Pelodiscus sinensis: one gene and its partners. The protein of the gene in region 1 interacts with the protein of each later gene in a biochemical or structural test. Links are inferred from orthologs where the notes say so. Each region holds a gene or a part of one and is shown in the gene's direction. Other genes may lie near its edges.

Region 1 (7,311 bases):
AGCGCCGCTCCTCGGCGCTACTGGACCAACCCAGCAGCACCCCAGCTGCTCTGCCCCAGGCGTCCTGATTCAGCCGCTGCTGAAACTGACCAGCAGCGGCTGAATCAGGAAGCCTGGGGCAGAGCAGCTTGGGTGCTGCTGGGTTGGTCCAGTAGTGCCCAGAGCGGCGCTGCGGGACCAACCGGCAGCACCCCAGCTGCTCTGCCCCAGGGTCCGGCAACAAAAGCCTGGTCTGCTGGGGGGGGCACACTAGCTGCGCCCCCCCCCCCAGCAGACCAGGGACACGGGGAGCAAAGCCGCAGCGGCAGCGGGGTGCCGCGCCTCTGAGGCTTTGCTCTAGCAAAGCCTCAGAGGCACGGGAACCAGCCGCCACTGCGGCTTCGCTCCGGTGCCCCTGGTCTGCTGGGGACCGTCTCCAGCAGACCAGGGGCACCGTGAGTGAAGCTGCAGCGGCGGCGGGTTCCAGCGCTTCTGAGGCTTTGCTCTGGCTGCTGCGGCTTCGCTCACGGTGCCCCTGGTCTGCTGGAGACGGTCTCCAGCAGACCAGGGGCACCGTGAGCAGCTTTTCTCGCCCCGGAGGTCGAGGTGGCGGATCGCTGCCTGTGAGCTCCGGGGCGAGAAAGCCCCGTTTGTAAGTGCAGATCCGACATAAGTCGGATCCGCGTAAGTCGGGGACTGCCTGTACCTTACCCATTACAAAGATCGCTTCCCCAATTATCACCTCTAATATCATTAGCTCACAGACATTTATCTCCCCCCCCCCATCCCTCTTCTGTTCTGAAATTTGATTTGTCCTTTTCATGGTTCATTTTTTAAAATTGTGTCCTTTGGTATATATGGTTGTGACAATTTTCTTCCACTATTTGATCTGAGGAAGTGGGTCTGGCCGACGAAAGCTCATCACCTAATAAACCATCTTGTTAGTCTTTAAAGTGCTACATAGTCCTGTTTTTTTATCTAGAAGTCAGTGAGTGTCTATTTAAAGGGCTCTGAAGATTGAGAGTGGGCTTTTCAAAAGCGATCACTGCTAACCGAATGCTACTCCCCTGAAGTCTGCCCAGGCCAAGGAGAATGCAGGATCTGGCCTTCGATTTTCTGCTTTGGGACCAGAAACTGTATTTTGCTGCTTTGTACGTTGCTGCATCTTAACAAGCAATAGGAGAATACTTTTAGCTCCCCCATTACTATGTTTGACGCTTAGCGGTACCTATCTTTAAAAATATTGTTTACTTAACTAGCAGTTTGATCATGAAATACAAAAAGTAGTTTTGCAGAAGTTGGACCAAAAAGAGCAGAGTGTTACATGTTTCTACTCCAGAGGGATAGCAGATAAGAACAGCAATTTCTAATTAATACCTTACATTCCTAAAGCTCCTAGAAACCCCCAAAACTGGATATGTGTCAGTGTCTCTACTTTATAGAGAAACTGAAGAATGGGACTTGCACAAGGTTGAACAATGGCAGACTAAGAAAACTGAACCCAGATTGTCAGCCTGCCCCTCTCTTGTTCTAATCACTAGCCTATTCTGCCTTGCACTAATTTAACTTCACAACCCCCTTCTTCTTAGGGTATTTTCCAGTGTTATAGACACAATGAAGGCAGCACACATACAACTCAACTCAAAGTTTAGGGGAAAGATTTTTCATGAGACACATAACAGCTGGAGAGTTCATTCCAGCTGGGCACAGGTGCTTGCAGGCACTTTGTGTGCCTTTGAAAATCTTCCTTACAGTCAATCACTTTTACCAGTAGAAATATCTACACATAAAAGTAGGTTACAAACAGTGCTTAAAACCATCCATAATCATGAGCGGCTTTAAAATGTAAGGAATCCAGGGACTCCCATGAATACCGTACCTTCTATAAGTGCTCAGTTATATATATTATATATATTTTCGTATATATTAATTAGGGAAGATCTTGTCACCGACCATCATTACTACTCACCCAATGCATGTAAATGCCTATGCACAACCATTGAGCTTTGTCTTAACATATAGGCTACGTCTACATTGGCATGATTTTCTGGAAATGCTTTTAATGGAAAAGTCTTCCGTTAAAAGCATTTTCGGAAAAGCGCGTCTAGATTGGCAGGACGCTTTTCCGCAAAAGCGCTTTTTGCGGAAAAGCGTCCATGGCCAATCTAGACGCGCTTTTCTGCAAAAAAGCCCCCATCGCCATTTTCGCGATCGGGGCTTTTTTGCAGAAAACAAATCTCTGTTGTCTACAGTGGCCCTTTTGCGCAAAAGTTTTTTGGAAAAAGACTTTTGCCTGAACGGGAGCAGCATAGTATTTCCGCAAAAGCACTGACAATCTTACATAAGATCGTCAGTGCTTTTGCGGAAATTCAAGAGTCCAGTGTAGACAGCTGGCAAGTTTTTCCAGAAAAGCGGTTGCTTTTCTGGAAAAAGTGGCCAGTCTAGACACAGCCATAGTGCTACCATATGTTGAAATACTGGCCTGTTTCGTGTCTTCAATTGTATGTATCTTTTGACAGGTTGATTCGATCTGTACTCCCTCTGCCTATTTTGGCCAAGAAATCTTGAGGCTCCACCTCTATTTCCTTCTGCTTAATGCCTGACAGACCACAGAAGTGATTTTGCTGGGTAATCATGTTCATACCCTCTATCCCCTTCCTTGATTCTGACCTTTGTTTGCCTCCACTTCTGCTAACTTTATTCCTTGGCCTTGCATTCTCCTTTTCCTCCTACATATAAGTCTGTACATTCATAGATCTTAAGGCCCACGGACACTGTGAGGATAATCTAGTCCAACGATACTTCTTGTGTAACACAGACCATAGAACTTTAACCGGGAATTCCTGCATCGAGTTCTTATCTCATGGACAAGGATGTTTTTGCTTTTAAAACATCTGGTTTTGATTTAAAGACTTCCAGTGATGGGGAATCCCTTGATAAGTTGTTCCAGTGATTAATCAGCTCTGACTTCATCCCCTCTTATCACTTGTTCTCAGCCAGCCTCCACCTCAGAAATGGCTTAGCCCAGCCCTGGTTAAAAATAAATATATTTTAGAAAAAACTCAGATACAAAACTACTGCCCCCAGTTTTCCCCTTGTGGAGCCTCTGACCAAGCAAATGGAGGGGAAATAAAAAAGGGACTGTTCTGTCTCTTTTCTGTACTTTGGTAGGTAGAGCAACCTAGTCTAGTGGATTGACTTAGGTAGATAGAGCCACAAATCCCTGCCTGTAGATCCTGTCTCTGACACTCACTGGCCAAATGGCCTTGAATAAACCACTTAGCCTTTGTCCACCCTGAGCATTTCCTCTTTCCATTTCCCAGCCTTGCTACCACTGGTGTGACCTCCTTTCTGGTGGGTATCAGATAATTGATCTCTAGATGACAAGGAAGGTTGCTACCACCTTCAGTTGACTGACGAAGTGCCTGTGGGATAGCAAGAAACTGTCACTAAACATCAAGATACAGCTCTACCAGACATACATTTGGAGCCCGTTGCTGTATCGTGGTGGGCCACCTGCTGCAGGCGTAAGAGAAGGCAAAATACCTTTCATTCTTACTCCCTTCAGAAAATCAGGTGGGAAACACAAGACCTTGACACCCCAGTACTTCAGAAAAACAGAACGACCACGTCTGATCTCTGGTCTCAAACATGTAGCCACATTTAGCCATCTCCATTAGACTCTGTCATCTTCTGACCCAGAGGTTTGTGCCCGGAGCCCTGCATAGCAACACAATTTGTATCTGCATCTGTGTCCCCCAAAATGAGCCTCAGATGCCCACGCCGGCCCGTGGCTGCGGAGAACCACGGATAGGAAGGAGAGAACCGCAAATGGGCAAGGTCCTAGATACGCAATGGGGGTCCACAACCCCCAACTCCGCAGATGCCGATTCCCATGGCTTATAAAGCAGATGCCCCCCATTCAGGCCGGGCCTTCTCTGGGGCAAGGACTATGGAGGGGACCTACTGAGGCTGCATCTTTTCCTCAGGAAGGGGCCTTTTTGGCCACTCCTGGCGCTGCAGCATGGGCCCTGGTGCCTGATTCTTCATCCCCCCGTGCCGAGGCCTGACAGCCCCCTGGGGCGCTGGGGTGGGGGCAGGTCTCTCTGGGCCGGGCAGCCCCTGGGAAGGAGCCTTTGGGGGCCCCCGGAGCAGGGGGCAGAGGTGGGGTGCGGGGGGGCAGCCGGGAAGGGCGGGGGGAGTTTGTGGCCCCTGCGGCGGAGGCTGCGGGGCGCCCCCGGGGGCGGGCGGCGAGCCCAGGCTCGGCCCGGGCGGGGCCCCGCAGCCAATGGGGCGGCGGGGGCGGCGCCGGGGGCGCGGCCAAGGAGGGCGGCGAGCGGCGCGGCGAGTGCCGGGGCTCGGAGCTGGCCCCCCAGCCCGTCTCGCCAGCCCGCCCCGCTCCCGGGGCCGCCCGCCGCCGCGATGCCGCTCGCCCAGCTGGCGGACCCATGGCCCAACATGGAGCTGGTGCATCTGGACCCGGAGGTGCGGGGGGGTCCGGCTCGCTGCGGGGGGGATCTGGGCGCGGGGGGGCAGCCCCCCGGTGCCCCTTGCACGGCGGGGTGGAGGCCACTGGAGCCCCTGCCCGCCCCCCTGCCGAGCTGGGGCTGAGCTAGAGACGCGGCTGGGCGAGACCCCAGGAGGTGGGGGGCGGGCGGGATCTTTACCCCTCCTCTGGAAAGCCCGGTGGGGGGGGGGGTCAGCGCTTAGCAGAAAGTGCCGGAGTGTGTGTGAGTCTGTGCATATGGGATGTGGGGGGGGGTCTGAGTGTGTGTGTCTGTGGGTGGGGGGGTCTGAGTGTGTGTGTCTGTGGGTGGGGGGGTCTGTGTGTGTATCTGTATGGGATGTGGGGGGGTCTGTGTGTGTATCTGTGTATGGGATGTGGGGGGGGTCTGAGTGTGTGTCTGTGTATGGGATATGGGGGGGTCTGTGTGTGTATCTGTGGGTGGGGGGGGTCTGAGTGTGTATCTGTGGGTGGGGGGGTCTGTGAGTGTGTCTGTGTATGGGATGTGGGGGGGTCTGTGTGTATCTGTGTATCGGTGTGTGCGCGCGTGGGGTGTGTGTGTGTCGGGGGTGTGTATCTGTGGGGGAGGGGTGTTGTGTCTACACACACATCCAAAGTTTCCCGTCGAACAGAGGAAGTGCCCCGTCTCCTTTTCCACCCACCTCTTCACCTCACCCCGCGGAGGTGTCTGGCAGCTGAGCCCTGCCCCAGGCTCGCCTGCTAATTAAAGCCACCACGGCCGCGTACTTGATCAGATGAATGCAATTGGGGATTCCGCACCTCCCCTCTCTGCTCCCACCCTGCCCCGCAGGCGCGGAGACGGTTCATTTTGGGGAAGGGGGGGGCAGCCACTTCTCACCTGATTCAATCAACATGTCTGCAAGCAGGTTCCAGGTCTTCTCACTGGAGCGATTGATTGGAGCAAAGAGGCAGGTTCCCGGTAATCCTGTGGGTTTTGCCTGCTGCCCTGGGCTGCCAGCTGTAATCCCCTGCCTTGATTTGGCCTCTCTCACTGCGGGATTTAGCCTGCTGTGCCCCTCTGGGGGTGACCCCTTGTGGGTTTACAGCTGGCTGTGCAGCCCAGTCCTGGGTTAGCGTCAGTCCTGGAGCAATCTTTGTGCTACCAAACCCCTGGGGGAGGTTCTTCAAGTTCTACATAAAAACAACAAACCACAGATATTAGGATTGTCTTGCCTGTACTTCCTCAGCCTTAGAGCGGAACTAACTTCCCCCAAAAGTGTCTTTTGTCTGCAGCTCTCTCTTAAGTGTGTCAGACTCTTGCCACACACGCACTGCTAATCCGACTTCCTGAGGGGCTGTTGGAAAACCATCCAGCAGCTAGACTGCATGCGTTGTACTGATCTGTCAGATCAGCGTGTTGCTCACTCCTTATGCTATATATGACCCTAGGTTATCTTTTTTTAGGGATGGGGGAGTATCTAGTTTGCAGGCTTGGCAACCTTTAGGAGCCTAACTAAACCCAGCAAATGCTCTGAAGTGCAGAATGAAATGGGGGAACTCTCCCCTTCTCTCTGAATCTCCCACTGTTTAGATCTAGGGTCTTTCCAAACGTGGATGAAAATGCAGTCACCGCTCCAAAGTCCCACATCAGAACCTCCACATTAGTTCTGCGCGGCTTCCCCTCCCCATTGGCACGTCTCGAACCCATTGCTCGGAGGGGCACGTGTCTAAAATTCCCAGGTGTTCTGTTGCGCATAGGCACTCCTCCCTCGCACGCGCGCCTTCCCTTCCTGCTTACATTGCCACCCCGAGTCACCCTGTCCTTGTGTTTCTCTGGACAGGCTAGTGCATGGGCCACCACCGAGCACTGGTGCAGGCTTCTGCTGTGGAAATTGAAAATAAAGTGTTTGGTATTCAGCGTAAATGCTCCTCAGTCCCCTGCGGCTGAGCTCCTAGTAATGGGAGCTAGACCCAGCTGCTTTACTCCTCGGCTGCTTTTTCTCAGGCCCTGATGCTCCCCTTTTATGCTGAGATGTGAGCTGAGAATCGGCCACCCCACTCTCTCGCCTCAGGCAGCTGCACAAGTCAAGGTTCCGCTCAAACAGGCCAGCCCCAAACACTTAACGTAGCCGCTGGCGAGGTCTTTCCTGATGGTCCCACTTCTCAGTCCTTGGCCCCGGGTTGGCGCCACCGAGCAATGACAGTGACAAAACATGTTTTGTCAAGAACATGCCAGGGTTCCAGCTGGCCCGTCTTTGCCAGCCAAGCCCACCGGGCTGGTTAGTAGCAGCGCGTGGGTCTCTAGGGTGCATGTGTGTACAGGAGTGGGAGAGGGAGGAGTTCCTTGTTCCACACTGATTTGACCCTGATGCCTGGCAGTGTGCGGTGCTTTCTGGGCTGACTTTTGTGACGAGTTGGAAGATGGCGGTGCCACAGTGCTTACGTTCGCATTTTTCTCCCCTTTCAAATCAGACAACCTCATAGTGCCAGATTACTTCCTACAAACGCTCGCAGGAGTTCAAATCAAATACCAGTGTCCATGACATGCCCTACTGCTGGCAGGGTTGGGATTTACTGCCTAACCCTCTGGCCAGACAACACTGTTGTGTGGAGCTTGCCTGTCTGCTGAATGAGTCAACCTTGCTGGAGCTGTGCATTTGGCCTGAAACTGGCGTCTGGGTTGGGTTTTTTGTTTGTGGTGGGGTGGGGTGGGGTGGAGTCCTGTGTCCAGGCTGTTTGGATACCAGTCTCCTAAGTGAAGTTTGTTTCTTATGATGGAAGAATGAGAAAACGAATGAACTACAAACTGAACCTCTCTAGTCCAGCACGCTCGGGCCCTGACCAGGGCTGAACCAAGGGGCGCTGGA
Region 2 (7,429 bases), on another chromosome or scaffold:
GTAATGGATATTTTTGAAATTATGCATTTTTATCCTCAACTGAACACACATTATGAAACTTTTTTCACTGCCATGATGTTTTACTGAGAGACAGCCCCACCTGCTGGCAAAAAGAGAAATTTTACCTGCTAATATAAAAGGGATTTTGTACTTCCTTCCCTTTTACTATTATTGTGAGACACTGCTATAATCCTTTCAAGGTGACAGTGAAAAATTCAGCTGTAACAGGAACAAAATAGGTATTAAACCAGAATAACATTTTTGTTTTGAAATATAAAGTTTTAAGCTTAAATTTTTATATATTTTTTGTTTGCCGGCTGCTCTTGAGAAGCTGAAGAGGTGCAGGCTGAAGCGGCTGCAATGACAAGACTTAGTCATTAATTTCCTCACAATCCAAGAATGAGATTAAGTGTTAATGCTTCTGATTATTTTCTTTGTATGTATTTTGTATTGTATCATTTCCTCCTCCCTTGTATTCAGACTGCACATGGCCTGCAGTTAGAGAAAGATGGCACATATAGTGCAACCCTTTATTGTTCACTAATTTTCACTGTTGTGAAAGTGATTTAGAATAAAAAAATGGTTTTACATTGACCTAAGCTTATGTGGATTCCCTCTTTGTAAGGAGGGGCAGTTCCCATGCCCTGTGTTACTTGGAATTATCACTGTAGTAGTCAGTACTGTGAATAATGGCAGAAAAATTTAGTTATTTTATATCCATATATTGTGGAAAGTGTTAGCAGTATCAGATCTGCTGTTTGTACACCTGCACTGTAGGATATATGTCCATGATGTATTTTTCACTCAGAGAAGGAACCAGCTGTTGCTGTCTCCGATAAATAGCAATGAAACAGTCTTTGAGGCTGCTGTATTTTAGGCTTAGAGCTGAAGATGCTTTTGTGCTAGTATATATATATATATATATATATATATCTATACCAGCTATTTCTAGGCTAAACAAACCATGATTCTGAAATGCATTAACGGGGGTATTGTGAGCAAGACACGAGAAGTCTTTGTATCCAATTCTGGGCATTGCCTTTCATGAAGGATGTGGAGAAATTGGAGAAGGTCCAGAGAAGAACAACAAAAATTATTAAAGGTCTAGAAAAGATCTACTGTATATCTGAGAGAGTTGGCCATCCCTCTGTCTGTGTGTTTGTTCAAGAACTAAATAGGAAGAGGTAGGACCACCAAATTTAGTATACAACTTCCTCATATAACTTAAAGCAAGATAAGGGTTTAGTTGTGCCAGGAAAATGGGCTGTGCCTGGAATAGGATTGCTTCTCATAAAACCACACAGAAAAGAGACAGAATCACCAGTGAGGTGAGAGGTGCAGGGTGGAGGTACTGTCAACCCCACAGGTGCCCTTTAGTGGGGGGAGGGCTGAAGCCTTCCTACCCCCCCACGCTCTGCTCCACTAGGGATGTAAGCAAGAACCCAACTACCCAATAAGCCTCAGAGTTAGGACCCCCTCTCTTCCCACAGACAGAGGCTGCTTGACCCAGCATGAGCTGGGACTGAGCAATCCTGACTCAATCCTGGCTCAGGCCATGTCCAGGAGCTATGGCCACTGTGGCTCCGCAGTTTAAATATAGTAAGAGCCGGGAGCTCTGGTAGCCCAGCTCCTATTACATTTAAACTACAGAGGCGCAGCAGGGGTAGGTTCATGTAGTCAATACAATTTATATCACCTACGGATTAGAGTATTACCCATTCTTAATATCCTTACCCCCCACCCTAATTTGTAGGGGGACATTGCTGGGGAGCGAGGGGAAAGTGCAGTTTGCTGCATACCTCATTCTTGCTGGAGAGCGTAGGGGAAGATGGCTCTCGACCTGGACCTGTCCAAGCTGGAGGACATACACTCCTCCTCAGGCTATGCCTGCTGGAGCTGCAGCAGCCATGGGGAGGTACTTCTCACTTGGCCCCAAGCTTCTGGAGTGATAGGGGGCTGAACAATTCCTCTCTCCCCAGGGCAGCCTGCATACTGGGGAGGTTAGTGGCTAGATGGATAACCATTTAAGTAAGTGCTTATCAGTTAACCGTAGTGATTAACCACAAATTCCCTCCCTCCTCTGCATGCTCTGCATTAAAAACTTGGACCTGTGCACTGTCTCACTCCCAGCCTGTTGGGGAGCCACCTGCAGCTTCACACTGCTGCTTCTGATACAGAGGCAGCAACATGGGGCAGCAAGAGGGAACCAGTCCAGACCAGGTACTGGTTTAAAAACTAGGTCTTGCCTGCTTCCCCATCCATGGGATGCTGGAGGAACCTCTGTTGGGATGTCAGGGTGCACCCACCTGCCATCCTGCCTCTGTACCAGAGGCAGCAGCATGGGATGATGGGGGGATGCCTGGGAGTGGAGCCAGGAATGCACTGGCTGCTGGCACTGCCCCCAAGGACCATTGAATAATCATGTAACTACTAAGAATGGTTGCAGTTACATGATTATTAAACATTTTCTAACATCCCCATTGCATACTGAACCCCTCAACACCAGCCCCACCCAGAGCATTGATTTAAATGAAGCATGGACATTTTCAGTTTATTTTCCAAAAAACAAAAAGTTTGTTAAGCTGAACAACACTAGGTAAATCTTCTAGTGACCTATGGAGGAAGTTTGAAAGAATTTGGTTTGTTTAGTCTGGAAAAGAAAAGACTGAAAGGGGACATGACATAGCTTTCAAATACCTAAAAGGGTGTTACAACTAGGAGGGGACAAAATGTTCTCCTTAACCTCTGAGGATAGGACAAGAAGCAATGGGCTCAAATCGCAGCATGTGAGGTTTAGGTTGGATATTAGGAAAAACTTTCCAACTGGTTAAGCACTGAAATAAATTGCCTACATAGGTTGTGGAATTTCCATCACTGGAGATTTTTAAGAGCAGATTAGATGCCTATCTATCAGGAATGGGGGAGGTTGTGCGTAGGGAACCTTTTTTGCGTTGGGGGCCATTTTTAGCCCCGGGCCTTAGGTTCCCCACTCTTGGTTTAGGTGTTTGGTCCAGGGGACTGGACATGATGCAAGGTCCCTTTCAGTTCTAAGTATTCTATGATCTGTAAGATTAAATTATGCCTCTTTGAATAGAGAAAGTAAAAAAGCAGAGGTTCCTTTACTTCATTCCTTATGTCTTGAAAAAATGTACAGGCAGTCCCTGGGTTACATGGATCCGACTTACATCGGATCCCTACTTAAAAATGGGGTGAGGCAACCCCGCACTAGCCGCTTCCCCCCAGCAGACCAGGGAGACGCGAAGCTAGCGCCTCCCCCCAGCAGACCAGGGAGACGCGGAGTGGCTTTTCTCAGCAGACACCTCAGCTTGAGAATAAAGGACTGAGGGAAGTGAGGTGTGGGAGAATAAAACTGAGCTCTGGAGAAATGTTTGGCTAGAGTTTCCCCTACATTATGTACCAGTTCTGACTTACATACAAATTCAACTTAAGAACAAACCTACAGTCCCTATCTTGTACATAACCCGGGGACTGCGTGTAGTATTAACCTTTTGGAAATCAGGAAGCTCTCTTACACGTGGGGTGAATTTCCTCAAGGAGGGGGACTTGTGAATGGCCTGATTGGAGTTCTGCCTGCATGCCACTGTCATGGTTGAAAGAGTTATGCTATCACTAGGGCTATGTATACACTGCAGGCTTTTTGCACAAGAACAGCTGTTCTTGCACAAAACCTTGCAGAGCAGCTACACTGCACACGTATTCTTGCACAAGTAAGTTTATAGACCAGCATCAGAAAACAGGGTTTCTTCCAGAAGAGTTATTCCTCTTCCCCTGAGGAATAAGCCCTCTTGTGCAAGAGCTCTGCCACAAGAAGGCCGTGTAGACAGGCAACATGAATTTCTTGCACAAGAAACCCCTACGGTTAAAACGGCCATCAGAGCTTTCTTGCACAAGAGAAGTCCACACTGGCAAAGACACCTTGTGCAAAAGCACATGGCCGTGTGGATGCGCTCTTGTGGAAGACCCTTTGCACAAGACCTCGTGTGTAAAACAGTTCTTGGGCAAGCAGCCTGCAGTGTAGAAGTAGCCCGAGCAGACCTGAGATTTCAGAGGAACATTAAAAAACAAACAAACCCGCAGGGTAACAGGCTAGGCTGGGGGGCGGAGTAACCCTGTCAAGGCACCGCACCCCTCCGGGTTAACAACAGGGCGGAACAGGACGGCGCCAAACATCGGCACCGCAGGCAGCTTGAGCCCCGGCCCCTTGCAGCGGCGTCTGGCTGACGCCCCGCCCCCAGGCCGCCAGCTGCTCTCGCACGTGCGGCGTTCCGGAGGCGCTGGGACTGAGCAGAGCTGAGCTCTGATTGGCCCCCTCCCGAGAAGAGGGCGGGCTGTGGCGCGGAAGTGGCGGGGAGAGTGGGGGGGTGAGTTTCTTATCAATGGGCCGGTCGGAGATTGGCCCGTGACCATAAAGAGGCGGCGCTGCCAGGGGTGGGCGGGGCTGTGATTGGCCCGCGGCAGGGAAAGGGCGGGCCCCGCCTCGGGCCAGGTGCATTTGATCCACCCCGCGCCCCGTAGAGGCTGACGTCACGGAAGGCTGGAGACCGGCTGGGGGCGATGGCGGGGTCGCCAGGTGAGGGGCTGAGTTCGGGTCTGGGCGCTTCCCCCGACCGCCTGCAGGGCGCGGCTCCGCCGCCGGGCCGGGCCGCCTGCCTGCTGGGGCCGCTCCCTGGTACCCGCGGGGCGCCGGGCTGCAGCCCCCTCCCCGGCCGAGGGCATCGGCCCCGCCCCCTCTCCAGGGACCGCCCCGCCCCCTCCTCTAGTCCGGCGCCGCCCCGCCCCCTCTCCAGGGACCGCCCCGCCCCCTCTCCAGGGACCGCCCCGCCCGCTCCTCTAGTCCGGCGCCGCCCCGCCCCTCCGCAGTCCGGTCCCGCCCTTCCTCTGGGACTGACACAGCCTTGCTCTCCTGCACCCTGGGGGCTAGCCCCTCCCCTGGACCGGCACGGCCCTGCCCCTCCCCCCCTGCAGTCTGGCACCAACCCCTCCCCTGAGACTGGCAAGCCCTGCACCCTGCAGTCTGGGTTAGCCAGTTCGCTGGAACCTGGTACAGCCTCTTCCTGACCTAGGGACCAGTTACGGGCCAAGCAATTGGTCGTAACTCGGTTTGTTCGTAAGTTGGACCCCATTGAGTTACATGTGACCACGCTGTTCATAAGCGCGGATCGTGTTTGTAACTTGGGGTGCGCCATTTACAACAGCTTTGGTCGTAACTGTGAACGGTCATAAGTCGGCCGTTTGCAACTTGGGGACCAGCTGTATAGCTTCTGCTCATGTGCTCCCTGCGTGTCCAGGGCCACCTTCATGGCTTGGCGGAGGCAGCCAGTCATGCTATCTGTCTTGAGTGCTGGACTGTAAGGCTTGCTTTTTTCTCTGGCATACTGTTAGCGGGAAGGGGGTGCTGCAATGTAAACAATGTATGGTCCTACAGCACCTTAAAGACCAACAAAATATGTAGATGGTGTCATGAGATCTTTGTGGGCACAGCCCACTTCTTCAGATGAATGGAGTTTATTAAAGGTCCAGTTCCAAAATAAATAGGGCATGGTGGAGGGGAGAAGGAAAAAGGAGGAAAAAAGTTAGGCTTGTTCATGCTACATGAAGCTGGTAAGAACAATTTGCACTTTCTCTAAGTACCCATTGTTTGGTCTGTTAAGTCATTAGGATGTAGATGGTATAGGATGTAGATGGTAGTGCGCTAGCCAGGTAACATCTTTATGCATACCTTTGTGAAGGTCCTAAACTTGTAAATGAAGTAAAGTTCCAAGGCTTCCCTGTTTTGGGTGGGGGAGAGACTGATTTAGGCTGTGACTGCAGACTAGCAGGGCACAGAAGTCCACATTATTAGGTCATTATTAGGCACAACTGAAAGCTGAGTGTGCAGCTCCGTTAGCTGCTGCATGCAGCATCGTTGATATGTATGTGAATTCAGAGTGACCCTGCTATTTGCAGACTGCATATATTTTAATGTTCACCGGCCTCTGACATCCTTTTCTGGCCAGTGGAATCTGGGCATCAACTTGAAGCTCAATTTGCACTGTTACTTAAGCTGAAAGACTGTAAATGTCTCACTTGATAATGTAACTTTCCTGTTCAATCTCCTCTTGTTTCTTTCATTGGTTATTACAGGTCCCCCTTAGTCTTAAATATTGATCTTTTATAACACTGTTTTCTGAAACTTTAGTGAACTTTTCAGCAGAATTTCCCAACCTGCCTAGTAGGCATATTGTAGATACATTGGCTGTGCAGCACACACAGCAAGCTTGAGAGGGTGATATTCAGTGGTTAATGTGCGTGGTTCCCTGTCCCACTCCTCACTGCTGCCTCTGACACAGAGGCAGCTGCCTGGAGGAGCAGGCGGGAGCTGGTACAAGCCAGCTCCCTGTCTGCACCAGCTCCTGGGGAAGCAAGTGTCCCCTTCTCCCCCCCCTCCCCATGTGTAATTGCTCAAACTTTCAGCAGTTACATGTTTACTTTAATATATGCATGTTAACATCCTTGTCTCTCAGCCAATGTTATGTACTATCAGCATGCACCTCACTTCATGTGCCCTTGCTTTACATGCAGGTTATATTGGTAGGGGAAAAATGAAACAGATTAAAACTGGAGGAATCTGGCAGTCCTATTTGCGAGCAATGGTAAACAAATTGTCTCATGGGCGCCACTCAAAACCCCAATGAGCTGTGTGTGGTCCTCAGGTTGCTCACAGCTGCTTTTAAACTCTTCTCGCTTTGAAAAGTGAGGGGTAGCAGCAATGTTTGTCTGCATCTGTAAAAACAAAAAGTCCCCTTAGCACCTTAGACTAACAGATTTATTAGGGCATAAGCTTCCATGGGTAAAACCCAGTTGGTCTGACTGCATCTTTGTCTAATATCTTTGTCGTTGAGGGCTCTCTCTGTCTTATTATCTGCAAAGGGTACACTTAAGTAATGAGGCATTTCCTTTGCTCATTCATCACAGGGCATTCTTCTTTTCATTGGGGGATTTTGAGTTCAATGGCATACTTTGTTGATTACATACTGTTGTAAGATCAGGGCCTAAGGCATAAACCACCCTGACCATACTTCTGTAGTCTCCTTCATCCTTATTGTTTCCTCATACCTTAGTCAACAAGTGATCACTTCAGTTGAAAATAGAATTTTTCACTTTTTGCTCTCCTAAATTGTTGTTGCATTCATTACCACAGCAATGCAACATCTGTTTAATGTTCACTTGCTAGGTAAGTGATTACTGAGAACTTAAGTGAATTTGACAAGTCCTGTATGTTACCTCTGGATGACTGTCATTGTTAGTTAACTGCAGTGCAGTAACTTGTGCCTTTAAACTGATTGGGGCAAAGGCTCTTGTGTACAGTATGTTGTATGCTTATGATACTAAACAGAGGGAGATGTATGTAAAGAATCAGTATCTTATG
Region 3 (7,315 bases), on another chromosome or scaffold:
GTCGCACAGCAGGCTGCTTTCCCCAGCCCTGCCCCTTCTGGGAGCATGAAGCTGCCCCCTCCCACCTTGTCCAGGGGCCTGCGGAGGCTGTCGGCTCCCCCTGTGCACGTACCTGCTTCACAGTGTGTTTTGAAGATAACTACATTATCAGTTGTGTGGTGTTCAGATTCATTGGTAATGGGGATTGCGTAAGTATATGATAGAGGAAAATTGTGACAGCTGGCAGTATGCATCCCAGTTACTTAACATAGGCCCAGATCATCAGTTATTTCAATGGAAGTTAAGAATCTGAATAACTTTGAGGATCTGGTCCATATTGCCTATGGGTTGGCTTAGCCCCACCAACTTTAAATTACCAGCTGCCTCAGACAATTCTTCTGTGAAATAGGTAGATGGAACTATCCTGATCTGACATGTGCAGCAGCAAATAAGTAGATGGAAATATCCTGGTTTGACATGTGCAGCAGCAAAAACTAGTTGTGTAAAGTGCCTACAATCACCTAAACTGTGGCAAAACCATGGCTAAAATCCAGATTTTATTTACGTTTTAAGAATTGCTGTGATTTGCCCTGTTGATGTAAGTTGATTTCTGACACATTTCATGCCAGGTTGCTCTTTCCTTGCTGCAGCCCCCTCTTTGATCCCAGATGATTTAGGGGTTGAAAAACAGGGTACTTATTCTGGGTTCTGAATTCCAGGAGATGCTGAACTGGACTTCTCTCCTCCTCCCAACTGGCCAGTCATTCTTGCTTTCTACTATTTGCCAGTCTTTTGCTTTGGCTACCCTCCTGGAGAGGTGCACTGCAAATGTTTTCTATGCTGGCCAGTAAAATGGATACCAAGCTTAATTAAGTAGGAAATATATCATGCCTATGTGCATCAATGAACAGTGTAAATAACAATCATTCTCACTGTGTAAACTTCCTTCCTAAAAAGCTGTTGTTTGGAAGAGTCTCCTGCTTGCACTGATGAATGGATATATTTGTTCAGCCTTCAGAAAGCAATTGTGAGGCTTCAGACTATTTTATACCTGCCCATTTTTAGGGACCCTGTCTTAAGTTCTGAAAGTGCTCCAATGATAGCATGTGGCTCAGAGAAATTGTTTGCGAAGATTAAAATGTGGATGAGAAAAAAGACACTTTGAGATGCTTCTCAATAACAATATGAACACACATAAAAATTATATTTGTTCTGAAATCTTATGACATGCCATCCTCTAAGACTCTTGATGATAAAAAAAAGTGTTAATAGTAAATAATCCCAGTCCACTGACTAGTGTGTTATTTTAGTTACATCGATGCAACTGACGGTGGAATCTGGCCCAGTTTCTGTGATGTATATTCTATCAATATCCTCATTTAATATTAAACATTTGAATTCACCCATCCAGGTATTTCGGATTTATTTTATTTGTACAGAAGCACTTATAAGATTTGTCAATATTTTGTCTGCCTTCATTTGATATAATACAATTAGACTCTTTTTTATATGACTGTTTCTCTTCAGTTCCTACCTGTATTTTATCAATTTCTTTCTTCTCCCCTTTATTAGGATATCAAGCATCTCTTTCAATGAATCCTCCCTTAATAAGAACCTGTTGACGTCCCCCTCCCCCACAACCTTAGTTTAAAAATTATCCTACAATCAGCAATCTGATTTCATTTTTGAGTGGCATCCATGCTTCCTCTGTAGGCTCAATCATTCCCAAAAGGTGACCCAGTTCCTAAGAAACCTAAATTCCTCCTCCAAACACCATTGTCTCATCCACACAAGGGGTGCGTCTAGATTGGAAAGATTTTGTGCAAAAACGGCCACTTTTGCACAAAAACTTGCCAGCTGTCTACACTGGCCGCTTGAATTTGCTCAAGAGCACTGACTTTGTAATATACGGAAACAGAATCAGTGCTTCTTGTGCAAATACTTTCACGCTCCCACTCGGGAAAATGCCCTCTTGCGCAAGAATACTTGCGCAAGAGGGCCAGTGTAGACAGGGAAGAACTATTTTGCGCAAAAAAGCCCTGATGGCTAAAATGGCGATTGGGGCTTTCTTACACAAAATCGTGTCTAGACTGGCCACGGATGCTTTTGCGCAAAAGCATCCGTGCCAATCTAGACGCGCTTTTGCGGAAATACTTTTAACGGAAAAACTTTTCCGTTAAAAGTATTTCCGCAAAATCATGCCAGTCTAGACACAGCCATAGAGTTCTGCCTGACTAACTGGCCTTCCATGTGGAACTGGAAGCATTTCAGAGAATGTTACCATGGAGGTCCTGGACTTTAATTTCTTGCTTAGCAGCCTAAATTTGGAGTCTAGGACCTTTGTCCTATCTTTACCTATGTCATTGGTTCCTGCGTGTACCATGACCACTGGCTCCTTCCAAGCATGCCAAATATGTCTGTCTAGATGCCTTAAGAGGTCCATCACCTTACACCACATAGTTTTCAAAATACAATTTATCTTGAAATGTTTCCATTTGATTGGTTGCCTTCCTTGGAAACAGTTGTATGTTTTACATTTAGGACATATCTGAGGCAAGAGCTATCTGCAAACAGAGCCCTTACTTTTATATTGCTTACCTAGCCCCTTCCACATCTTTCTGGTAACCTTGGGTTTCATGCTCTTCTACACTACAAGTTGAACCTCTCTAGTCCCAGACTCTGTTGTCTGGAAACATCCATCATCTGGAATGATTTTACTTAGCTGGATGTTCACTTCTCATGAGTGTGGCCAAGTTTTGCGGTCCCATAAAGTTTGTTTACAGCCACCAGTCCTAGCTCTGTGATGTTATTTAGCTCTAATTTCCTCCTAAATGTCCTCTAACAGTATAGTAAGCAGTGGACATGTTGGTAATGCTGCTAGACAATATTGACCTCCCATGGTCCAGAAAATTCTCTCATTTGGAACTGGTTAGGTCCCAAGGGTGCCAGACTAGAGAGGTTCAGCCTGTACCAAAAAACTCCCACTGACATAGTGTTTCCCTTGGAGCCTCTCCTCAAAGTGTGTGTGTGTCTGTGCATGAAACATGAAAAGTTAATGCTCAAGATGAGCATTTTGCAGCAACCTGAGTTCCAGTAGGACACAAACTCCATGTCAGAGAAAACAAGGAGCTTGTTAAATATTTATGGTATTACGAGAGGAGTGAATATGATATGAGGCACATCTGTTACCAAATGATTCATAGCTCTTGAAACTGGAACTAAGGATCATGAGTGAAGAGAGATATTGTAGCGTGACATTTATTAGCCATTATCTTGCTATGGTGAGCTCTCTGGAAGTAACAAGTCCAAATGCTGAGGCCTCACAAGTTTGAACTGGGTTGTAATGAGAACTCCTTTGTGAGGCAAACTTAGCAAAATATTGATTGTAATGGGCAACAATTAACATGGTGCACTGCTCATGGATTTTGCCTTATGAGATAGAGACTAGTAAGACTGGATCCTATTCTAGAACCTCCAAAATCTTCATAGCGTAATCTCAGACCAGTGTCTGGGAGATGTTTCTAAGTACTCACATGGTGGTACTTCTCAGCATGAGTAACTTGCTGCATGTATGTTTGTTTTTCTTTATAATAATGTATGGAAGTTGAGTTTTATAAATTAGTTAACACTTCAATGGGAGATCATTGAATATTATGTTTTATACAAGCCAGTTCTTATTTGTTGTCTTAAAGTCCTTAACCCTCAGAAAAGAATAGGAAGGATAATTTGGAATGAATCTACTTGGAACACCAATGCACTGAAATACTATTAAGGGATGCAACTTGCGAGCTGCATTAAGAAACAAAGGCGGGTACTTTAAAAAAAATGGATGCCTAAATCTAAATGATTAAACTTTCATTTACACACCTAATTAACTCTCCTGGCTTTCAAAAGTGCTGCAATGTATGTTTGGTTGCATCACCTCTTCACTTGCAATTGACTCCCACAAAACCTACTTCATAGTTCTTACTTTGTCCACCTCTGAGACTTGAGGCCACCCAGCCTACTTTAAGCTCTGAGTAAGGAGATTAATGTCCAGACTTTCACATATTTAGATTTAAAAATGGTCATATTCTTTATACATGTGTGACCATTTATGGGAGATCTACAACTAACTCCATTTCATTGGTGGCATTTTTTGGCCTAGTGCATTGGTACTACTTTCAATTGCAGCTTTTCCACAATTCCATTTTTCACAATCCAGTCTGAAATAACCTATACTGAGGACAACAGTCCCAAGAGCTGCACATAAGTTTGGGGCTGTAATGGGTGCTCCTTCCTCCATCTCTCTTAATGACTTCTGAGCTGCAGCAGCTGTGGGGGAGAACCCTCTAGCAGGCTAAGTCTCCTGCTGGGGATCTAGCCCTTCCCTTCCTATCTGCTACCTACACGGGCTACCCAAATAACCTGTAATTCCAGTGTTTCTCTGCTGCTTGATTTGGGATTGTTTTTCATTCCTTTTTCTAAGAGACAAAATAAAAGACTTTAAGGGGGAGGTGGGATAGGAGAGGAGGCATATGGGAGGAATATCCCAATGGCTAATGATCCCAAAGAGGAGGGCAAGGAGGAGATCTCTGGGAGTAAATCAGTTCCAAATTGCTGTGGGCTCATCGCTTGCCTGGTATGCCAGTAGCTCCCTCCTGCCCCATTCCTGCATCTCTCCTACCCCTCTTCCCAGCTCCCCTACAGCACAGGGAAGGGAGCTGGCGTGGTTGCTTTCCCCTCATTCTCCTTCAGTGCAGGCTTGACTCTGGGTCTGGCAGATCTCAGCTTCTTCCCCCCCTTGCCCTGTTGCATTTCCCTGCTGGGAGGGATGCAACAAAAGGGCGGAGGTGATGGCGGAGGAATGGGGGGGAGGGGTATTGGGCGGTCGCTCCTATTACAGTGAATACGGGAGGATCAGAGGACTGGGTGAGCCGCTGAAAACTTCAAACCAAACAAACTCCGCGCTGCCCTCCCCTTCTTCATCCTCCGCTTTCCTTGGAAGTTGGAGCCGCGCTGCCTGCATCAGCAGCCGGGCTGGCAGGAGAAACAGCAGCAGCCGCTGCTGGAAAGTTTCTCCCCCGCCTGTGCAGTGCTCCCCGCCCCCCGCCAGCCATGGGCTTTGACCTGGATCGCTTTGCCGAGCCCGTGGACCCGGATCTCAAGTGCAAACTGTGCAGCAAGGTGCTGGAGGAGCCGCTGTCCACGCCGTGCGGGCACGTCTTCTGCGCCGGCTGCCTGCTGCCCTGGGCGCTGCAGCGCCGCCGCTGCCCCCTGCAGTGCCAGCCCCTCTCGGCCAAGGAGCTGCACCAGGTGCTGCCGCTCCGGAGCCTCATCCAGAAGCTGGAGGTCAAGTGCGACTACAGCCCGCGGGGCTGCGGCAGGACCGTGCGGCTCCACCAGCTGGCCGCCCACGTCGAGTGGTGCGACTACAGCCCGGCCCGCTGCCGCCACCAGGGCTGCCCAGAGGTGCGCAGCCTGCCGGACGTGGAGGCGCCCAGGCGGGAGAGCTGCGAGCGCCGGCCGGCCGGCCCCTGCCCGCAGGGCTGCGACTTGCTGCTGCTGGCGGGGGGCGGGGGGCGCTGCTGCCTGCGGGCGCTGCGCAGCCACAGCGGCATCCCCCGGGCCGGCCTGGAGCCGGCGCTGAAGCGACAGGCCCGGGAGTGGAGCACGAGGGAGAAGTCGCTGCTGGCGCAGCTCGCGGCGCTGCAGAGCGAGGTGCAGCTCACGGCGCTGAGGTACCGGGTGAAGTTCAACCAGTACATGAGCCACCTCAGCAGCCTCGCCAGGAGCCTGGCCGGCAGCCCCCCCTGCACGGTGAGTGAGCGGGCGGGCGGGGCGGCAGGAGCGCAGCCTGGCGGCTTCGGGGTGTGTTTGCACCGGGATGCCTGCCTGGCGGGGCCGCTCCTTGGATGGTGCCGAGCCGTGAGGGGCTGGAACATGGGACCAACCTGTAACCCCCCGCCCTAGCATGGAAATCACGTCGAGGTAGGAGGGTCGCTATTGGAACCCCCTCCCCCCCAGTTCAGCACCTATGATAGCAGCTCCTGGGGGAGACCGCCAACGCCCCGAGCCACTCGGGGCCAGATCCTCTGCGAGCCAAACTCTGCTGCACTCCACTGACCGACCCCAGCAGCAGGGACCGGACCCTCTGTGCTGTTTATTCCAGACCTGCTTGTGTGATCGCTTTTGGAGCGGACACACACAGCAGCCTCTTGGACCTGGGATTGCAGTGTCAGCCCCCGATGAGGTCCCTTGGAGAGCCCCCTCCCTAAAGCAGAGAGGCAGGCAGGTAACACTCGGTAACCTGCATCCGAGCTCTCTTGCTGTGCTGATGGTTGAAAAGTCTGGAAACAAAGTGATGTAAATCAAACTTTTACATTTCATTTCCCCATTCCTTCATCCTGGAAAACTCATCTTTCAAGAGCTGTGAAAGCAGATTCTTTCTGCTCCCTCATTTTCTTTCAGAGTGCAGAGAGCCTAAAATGTGACATAAATTACCTTAGTCCTTTTGGGTTCTGCGTTTCATGTCTCCTTTTGTAGTTCAAGAATTTGGCATCCGTAAGGGTTGCACACCAGCCTCTGTCCCCAGTGACTCAATTTGGAGGAATCATGTCTCTGGTAGACCCCAGTGACTCAATTTGGATCTCATGTCTGGAGAGGGAAACATAAATCAGAGGAAAGGGCTTCAACTTAGCTGACAGTTCACAAACTTTAATGCAAATCTTCCACTGGGTGTCTAGAACAGACCACAATTCTTCCAGCTGAGTATGATCTTATTAATGCTGGTATTATATCTTCCTTAGGTGACGTTCTAATTTCAGGTAGGTAAGAAGTGACCAGATATATTTTCTTATCATTATAGTACTAAGCAGCAACTTGGAAAACAGTTTGTTATTTAAAAACAACAGAATCCTTTAGAGTTTAGGTACAGTTCTGCAGGGATGCGGAAGTAGTTTTGGGGAAGGGCATAATGATTGGCAATATTGACAGGAGAGACCAGCACTGCTGCTTCAGCCTTTTGCCAAGTGCTACTGGTGAGATGGCTTAGCAAGCTAAAGGAGTTGTTCTGTAAAGCTTTAATTCCTGTCTGAAGGATTTCTGTGCAGAGTCTGACATTGCTGGTTGCAACCATGGTGAGAAATGATTTAATGGAATGTAAGCTCCACTCAAGAGATTTCTCTTCCAAAATCATTATTGACTCTTTTGAAGCAAAATCCAGAGGAAAAAAATTTGAGTAGCCTTGCTGGCTTCTATCAGCGTTAGCATGATATGCTGAACTTCAAACTGTTATAAAAGAGACTCACACTGGGGCACTGATTCAAGTTCTCAGGGTTTTTATGACCAGGATAAG
Region 4 (6,998 bases), on another chromosome or scaffold:
AAGTGATACAAATCTAAAGGAGTTACAAATTACTATCTCAAACAGATTCATACTGCTAGCAATATATTTAAAATGGAACCTACAGACTCTTTTAATAGACAGGAGAGGGATATGTAGCACAATAGTTTGCTACAGTTAATGTCAGCTTGATTTTAACTAATTCTGGAAATCTTAAATAACCCCAATGATTAAAGCTAAATTAATCTTGGGGCCTATTGATGGGGAAATATAATGCAGTCCTCTTCCCCACCTCTGACAAATATGTTTTAAGTTAATAACAGATACAAGCTATTATTCCAGGGAAACTTCTAGTAAGCCAGAGCACTGGCAGGTGTCAGAGCTCTCTCTCTCTCTGTGTGTGTGTGTTCTGGTGAATATTAGGTTATTTATAAATTGAATCTTTATTATCTGTAGCTCATGACTGCTGTTCCCATATTAACAGGGTGACCGCATTTTCTTAATGAAAAAATTAGGACACTTTTTATAGGGCTGAGGCTTTCAGTGAAGATATATGTAAGATTTTGGAAGCTCAAGGTGGGTCAAAAGGATGAGGCTTCTTACTCCCTATTCTCAGCTATTTACATGCTTTCTCTTTTTTCACAACTAGAAAGCAAAACAATAGAGTGGTGGGTCAGGGGGAAAAGCCATTCACCCTTTTACTGCTATTTTATGTTTTTATTTTAATTTTTCTATGGTTCTTTTCTCTTTCCTTTTCCTTTGGCCCCAAACCTGCAAACTGCCCCATGTGAGTGGATTCCTTCACCCACACAGAATCCCTCTGAAGTCCATATTAAACAGCTTGTAGGATCAAGGTCTTTGTTCTTTGCTTGTTGTACCACTGTACCCTTCCACGGGTACCCATTTAATTTGCACCCATGTGCTAGTGCAATAGAGATAGTCAAAAAACAACACATTTCTGTGAAAAATTTCATTGACAAATAGTGCCATTTTTTCCATTAACATTTCAAAAACATTTTACAACTTCTAAACTACAGTAATCTCTTCCACGCATACTATATCCCACCCTTCATTCATTCTGCATCCAATTCACATGTACCTGCATTCATATCCTCATCATTCTTCCATTCTGCACATGCACATAGTACACCCATGTAGATGAGGTGAGAGGAAATCTCTTGCCTTTTAAAGGCTAGGTCAACCAACGTTTCAGCTAAAGTATGGAGTTTTCCCTGTCCATGTTTGGTCAGTCTTTACTTAGTAGGGAAATCCATTTCTTTAGGAAGTGAGACATTCATACATTTGTCTATAAAGCCCAGGGGTGGATGCATTTCTTCATTTTCATGCTAGAAAATTCTACATCTGAGTGTGGGGGAAGTACAGATCAGAGGGTGTTAAAGCAGCAAAACTTAAGCAGTGAGGGTCAGCTCAATGTGAGGCAAGGATAGCATGGTGTTGAACAGCTGGAGTGCTTGGAATCAGGGAGCACTGGGCAGCCTGGATAATCCAGAAAGTTGTGGCAAGGAGTGTGAAGGTTGAGGGCTGACAGGTAACAGAGAGGGCAGGGTCCCACAAACCATTCACTCATCTATCCTGCTGATGTTCCCTATTCTTCTCAAACTTGCACTTGTCCCATACTCTCTTCACCAGGCAAAGTCCACCTGAACTTTGATGGGGGTGGAACCTCCCTTTCCCCTGGCATCATGGTAACCAGGCTTAGAAAACTTGTTCTATGGCAATAGTATCCAATAAACTGTAAGTTTGGGAGTCACTAAACCTAGAGGCACTACAGGGTTCTGTGTAAATTCAGAGCAGTTATGACTAAACATATTAATGGGGCCTCAAGATTCATAGCTGTCACGTTCGTCTTGCCACCATTTGAAGCTTGCTCAAGCCAAGAACATCTAATTTCATAACTACATATTCCAAATCCATTTACTGATTTTTCAAAGCATCCAATTCACTATTTTAGATGGATTTATAGCTCCTCTATAGCATAGTGTCTTAGCATCTCAAAGTCTTTAATATGCTATTCCTCAAGCTAAATTGGGAAGTGCTGTTAACCTGTTTTAACTCCCCAGAGGTATCTAATGGTACGTCTACACTACATGGCTCTGTCGACAGAGCCATGTAGATTTGTTTATTGGGCAAAGGGAAATGAAGCAGCAATTTAAATAATCGCTGCTTCATTTAAATTTAAATGGCTGCCGCGCTGAGCCAACAAACAGCTGATCAGCTGTTTGTCGGCTCAGCGCACTAGTCTGGACTCTCTGCGGTTGACATCAAAGCCCTTTGTCGACCGCCCCGGTAAACCTCATCCCACGAGGAATAACGGGGTGGTCGACAAAGGGCTTTGATGTCAACCGCGGAGCGTTCAGACTAGCGCGCTGAGCCGACAAACAGCTGATCAGCTATTTCTAATTCTGCATCCAATTCACATGTACCTGCATTCATATCCTCATCATATCCTGATCAGCTGTTTGTCAGTTCAGCGCGGCAGCCATTTAAATTTAAATGAAGCGGCGATTATTTAAATCGCCGCTTAATTTCCCTTTGCCTACAACCCTAATCTATATGGTTCCATTGATGGAGCCATGTAGTCTAGACACAGCCTAAGTGCCTAACATCCACTGATTTATGCACCTAAATAACTCTGAGGATCTGGACCTCAGTGACTTGCCCCCTCACACAGGAATCTGTGGCAGAGCAGAGAGATGAAGCCAGGTCTCCAGAAATCAAATGCTACCATCCTAATAACTGGATCACCCTTCCTGGCCCCACCACATTATTCCCATGTTTTGCTTTAAGGGACTGAGCTGAATTGACTCAATGGTAGAGACCTGTGTGGACACAAAATGTGAATCTGTATCCATATCTGCAAAAATGATCCGCAGATATCTGCATCAATATCCACGGATATGGATATCCACAGATATAAAGTGGGTATCTGCAAATGTGCAAGATATCCACACACAATTTATATCTGCATCCGCCAACATTAGCTGTGGATATCTACATCCATATCTGCAGATTTGCAGATACCCACTTTATATTTGTGGATATCCATATCCGTGGATATTGATGCAGATCTCTGCGGATCATTTTTGCTCTATCAATGGGTGACTAGGAGCAAGAGGATAGGCAGGGAATGTAGGTAAAGGCAGGATGCAGGAGAGGATTTCTTCACTTTCTCCTTCCTGTTCCACCATTGTTGCTTGTAGCATAGGCCCACAAAGGGGCCAGGCACTTGGCAGCAACAGAAGCCACATTCCCTGCCCTGGGGAACTCCCAATGTAACCTGGCAAACAAGGAGCAGTGACTGGCAGTCACAGGCAGCAGGAGGGAGTGGAAGCTAGGCAGCTCTGAGGCTGCAGTTGCTTATGGCTGTGATGCCCCTGTGCCCACAGAGACCCCTCAGCAGGGGTGGGAGTGGAATTGGGGCCAGGCAGGGAGCGGCTCTGGGGTGATATGGGCACTGGGCAGTAGGGAATGGGGCTGGAGGTCAGCGCTGCTGTACCCAGGTGCTCCGGGGTCGGATGAGCGGCCGGGCGCTGGGTCGAGGCCAGGGGGCGCTAGGGGTGCAGAGGGAGCCGGGAGGGAGGTGGGTGCCGTGGCTACGCGCTGCACTGGGCAGCCGTGCCGCAGAGCGGGCAGGCCTGGTCCGGGACCCGCGGGGGGTCGGAGCTTCAGCGATGGGATCCCGGCTGGCGGGGCCCGTCCCGCTCCATCCCTCCCGGGCTGCAAAGGGGAGGGCCCCCCGCGCTGTCACCCGCTCGCTCCCTGCCCGCCCGCTGCAGGGGTTGCTGCCCTTTCCCCGTCCGCGGCTCGGCCGGGCGCCAGGCCGGGTGGGGAGGCTGCAGCTCCCGGGGCCTCCCTTTCCTCCCCACCCAGCCCGGCTGCTCTCCGCCTTCTCCCCGCCGTGCCAGCCAGCCTCTCTCTGGGTCTTCACTACCGGGTCAGGCTGGAGGCGAGCGTGATCAGACACCCCCCTCCCCCAGCACACACAGTCCTGCTCCTCCCCCTCCTCCTCTCCGGGCCGTCTCCATCCCTCCCTCCCTCCCCGCCCGCTCCCCTCCCTCCTTCCCCGCTGCCACTTACTGTACAACTAGTGCACACACACACTCGCACTCCCAGGGTCCCGGCTGCCGCAGCTGCCATGGCCATCCGCTAAACACACCCAGACTGACAGCCAGGCACGGGCAGAGTCACCCCCACTCCCCACCTCTCCATCCTCCTCGCCGCCCGGCGGCCACGGCCCCTGCGGTGCCTTGCAGCCGGCCGGGAGCCGCCGCAGCCCCGGACCCAGCCCCCCGCCCCAAAAAGGAGCCAGGCTCCGGACCAGCACCCAGCACGCCGGGGAGACTCCGCCAGCCCATCCCCACTGCAATGTCCAAGGGCTTGAAAAAGAAAAGCCACTGGACGAGCAGAGTCCACGAGATTGTCCTAGGCAGGAACCAAGAGGGGCAGCTGGGCTTTGAGCTGAAAGGGGGAGCGGAGAACGGGCAGTTCCCGTACCTGGGGGAGGTGAAGCCCGGCAAGGTGGCCTATGAGAGCGGCAGCAAGTTGGTGCCGGAGGAGCTGCTGCTGGAGGTGAACGAGACCCCCGTGGCCGGGCTCACCATCAGGGATGTGCTGGCCGTGATCAAGCACTGCAAGGACCCCATCCGGCTCAAGTGTGTCAAGCAAGGTAAGGGCCAGCTGCCGCGTGCCTGCTGCGCCTCGGCGGGCGGGCCAGGGGCGGACCGGACGGGGTGACAAGGAGCCGGGGCGCAGCGGGGACAGCGCCTGGGAAGGGCGCAGCCCGGGAGTGGCGAGGAGATGGGGTGCCGTGGGGGAGGGGAGACAGCCCGCAGACCCCGCCGCGGGGCGTGTAACTTTGTTCCGGCACTTTGACACCCCCCCTTTCTGGGCAGGGTCCAGCACCTGGCCCCGGGGAGGCTGCGAGGGGCAGCGGCGCCCTGTGTGCTTGGAGGAATTAAATGTGCGTCAGTGACAGGCTGCCGCGGTTGCAGGGGGCGGGAGGCGGCCAAACTTTGCTAGGGCCGGGCCGGGGCGCACAGGCACCCCCTGAGGTGCTGCAGGCAGAGCCGGGGCCAGGGGTGGGGAGCTTGGGATCCCGGGTCAGGCAAGCAGCTCGCGGCGCCTCCAACACGCATAGGGAGCCGCAGCACTGAGAGGGAGGCGAGGAGCCAAACCTTGTGACAGGCGTTGAGGAGCATTAGCATCGAGTAACGCTGTGGCCATGCAGGGCACCACGCTGCGCCGCGTAGCCAGAAGGAGCAATAGGGCTTTGGCCGTCCCTAGCGTAGTCTTTCATATCTAGAGAAAGTGGCCTGGAGGCTGGCTTTGGGAGCTGGTACCCTTGGCTCCGCTTGACACTGGGCGTGTTCCCCTGGAGGTAGTGACTTGCTGCTGCTTGGCAGGTCCCTGACACCTTAGGGCGGCTTTAGCTTCCGTACAGTATCATTGTAGGAAAAATCCTCCACTTTATCTCCGATGAAAACAATCGCCTGGTGCTGGGGAAAGGGGATTTCATATCCTGACACCAGAGAGGAAAGGGTGCTCGCTGCAGGAGCCGGAGGGAAGTTAGAGGACAGAACCATAAACTTTAACTGGTCATCTGTTTCCCCTTTAAAAAAAATAAATATATATAAGTCCTGGAGTAGTTTAACAGAATTCCAGGAAAGTGAATATGATTAAAGATACTAGATTTTCCGTGTAACCCCTTTCTGCCCTTTCAACTAAATTGGCAGGTAGGGGAGGGTAACAGAAGGTTTGGAACAGTTTTCTGACACTCAGAGAAGTGGTGGCAGAGCAGAACAGTTGTAAACTCCAGTGACAACCACATTCATAAGTGGTGCCTTGATAATGATGATGCAGTGGTTGATTGTGTGTGTGGGGGGGGAGAAAGGAGACTAAGGCATTTCAGGCTCAGCCATAGGAATCCAGTTAATACTGCGGTGGAAATAAGTTCAGTGCCAGTATTCTATCTCCAAAAAAGGCAACCTTGGTACAGATTGGGGGGCAAAATGGACAGCTGTGTCAGCTGCCCCAGATTCTTCCTTAGTATAATTTTGTAGTTGAGTTTCATCATTTTAGTGGATGGCCTGTTATTCATGGTGGTTTTCAATGAGATTTCAATGAGATTCAATTTCAATGAGATTCAAATGCTTGAAAAATATTATTGGCCTGATCCAAAGCTCCCTAAAATCAGTGGGAAGATTCTGTTTGACTTTGAGTTAGTCTCCATAAGGATATTACTGTGTGTTCAATTGTTTACAGTGAGGTCACATCTCCAAACAACTGACATAACCTGGTATTTATACACTGTATATTAAGCTGGCATATTGGTAAATTCAGAGTACAGCAGTGTATTGTAAGTCACATTTTGAAGGACAGAAGTCAAGGAGACATAATAGTTGATGCAACAAGTAAAGATGAGAAAGGGAAAAGACTTAAAGCAATTCTACGTTGTTGTACTGGGTCACCTTTGGGCTCTGTGCTCCATGAAACCTGCTATAGTGTTTCAGCTTCTAAATAAATGTAAAAGGTCTCAGAGAGGTAGCCATGTTAGTCTGTATCTGCAAAAACAATGAAGAGTCCTGTGGTACCTTAGGGTGCTTCTGCACTGCACCGTAGCTCAAAATAAGATACGCAATTTGAACTACGCAAAGTGCGTATCTTATTTCACTCTTATTTCAAAATAGCTTAAACAGTGCCAATAGTCTATACAGTGCCAAATTTCAAAATAATCGGCTATTCTGAAATGTTCCTTACTCCTCATGGAATGAGGTTTATAGGGACGTTGGAATAGCAAGCCTGTTATATCTGGAAATAACGGGCTTGCTGTGAAGACACAGAATAGCTATTTCAGGATACTCCAGTATCCTGAAATAATGTTGTAGTGTAGATGTAGTCTTAGACACTAACAGATTTATCAGGGCATAAGCTTTCGTGGGTAAAACCCACATCATCAGATGACTGGGAGTGGAAATTACAGAGGTAGGGGTATATATAAGAACAACACAAGAAGTTACTTG

Evidence for each region.
Region 2: the proteins of RPS6KA1 (region 1) and LIMK2 interact in a test that uses a peptide from one of them, tested with the Homo sapiens proteins (2 studies listed by BioGRID and IntAct). The link is inferred for Pelodiscus sinensis from reciprocal best matches to the Homo sapiens genes RPS6KA1 and LIMK2.
Region 3: the proteins of RPS6KA1 (region 1) and PDZRN4 interact in a test that uses a peptide from one of them, tested with the Homo sapiens proteins (2 studies listed by BioGRID and IntAct, with this or other methods). The link is inferred for Pelodiscus sinensis from reciprocal best matches to the Homo sapiens genes RPS6KA1 and PDZRN4.
Region 4: the proteins of RPS6KA1 (region 1) and MAGI2 interact in a test that uses a peptide from one of them, tested with the Homo sapiens proteins (2 studies listed by BioGRID and IntAct, with this or other methods). The link is inferred for Pelodiscus sinensis from reciprocal best matches to the Homo sapiens genes RPS6KA1 and MAGI2.

What each region holds. Positions count from the first base shown.
Region 1 is NC_134735.1:2,049,519-2,056,829, forward strand, and holds the start of RPS6KA1 (ribosomal protein S6 kinase alpha-1), read left to right. Parts: upstream 1-4,306; 5' UTR 4,307-4,401; coding exon 4,402-4,464; intron 4,465-7,311. UniProt on the Homo sapiens protein: Serine/threonine-protein kinase that acts downstream of ERK (MAPK1/ERK2 and MAPK3/ERK1) signaling and mediates mitogenic and stress-induced activation of the transcription factors CREB1, ETV1/ER81 and NR4A1/NUR77, regulates translation through RPS6 and EIF4B phosphorylation, and mediates cellular proliferation, survival, and differentiation by modulating mTOR signaling and repressing pro-apoptotic function of BAD and DAPK1.
Region 2 is NC_134725.1:8,458,062-8,465,490, reverse strand, and holds the start of LIMK2 (LIM domain kinase 2), read left to right. Parts: upstream 1-4,424; 5' UTR 4,425-4,575; coding exon 4,576-4,591; intron 4,592-7,429. UniProt on the Homo sapiens protein: Serine/threonine-protein kinase that plays an essential role in the regulation of actin filament dynamics. Acts downstream of several Rho family GTPase signal transduction pathways.
Region 3 is NC_134711.1:52,518,243-52,525,557, forward strand, and holds the start of PDZRN4 (PDZ domain-containing RING finger protein 4), read left to right. Parts: upstream 1-4,308; 5' UTR 4,309-5,076; coding exon 5,077-5,778; intron 5,779-7,315.
Region 4 is NC_134711.1:21,274,993-21,281,990, forward strand, and holds the start of MAGI2 (membrane-associated guanylate kinase, WW and PDZ domain-containing protein 2), read left to right. Parts: upstream 1-3,995; 5' UTR 3,996-4,344; coding exon 4,345-4,645; intron 4,646-6,998. UniProt on the Homo sapiens protein: Seems to act as a scaffold molecule at synaptic junctions by assembling neurotransmitter receptors and cell adhesion proteins. Plays a role in nerve growth factor (NGF)-induced recruitment of RAPGEF2 to late endosomes and neurite outgrowth.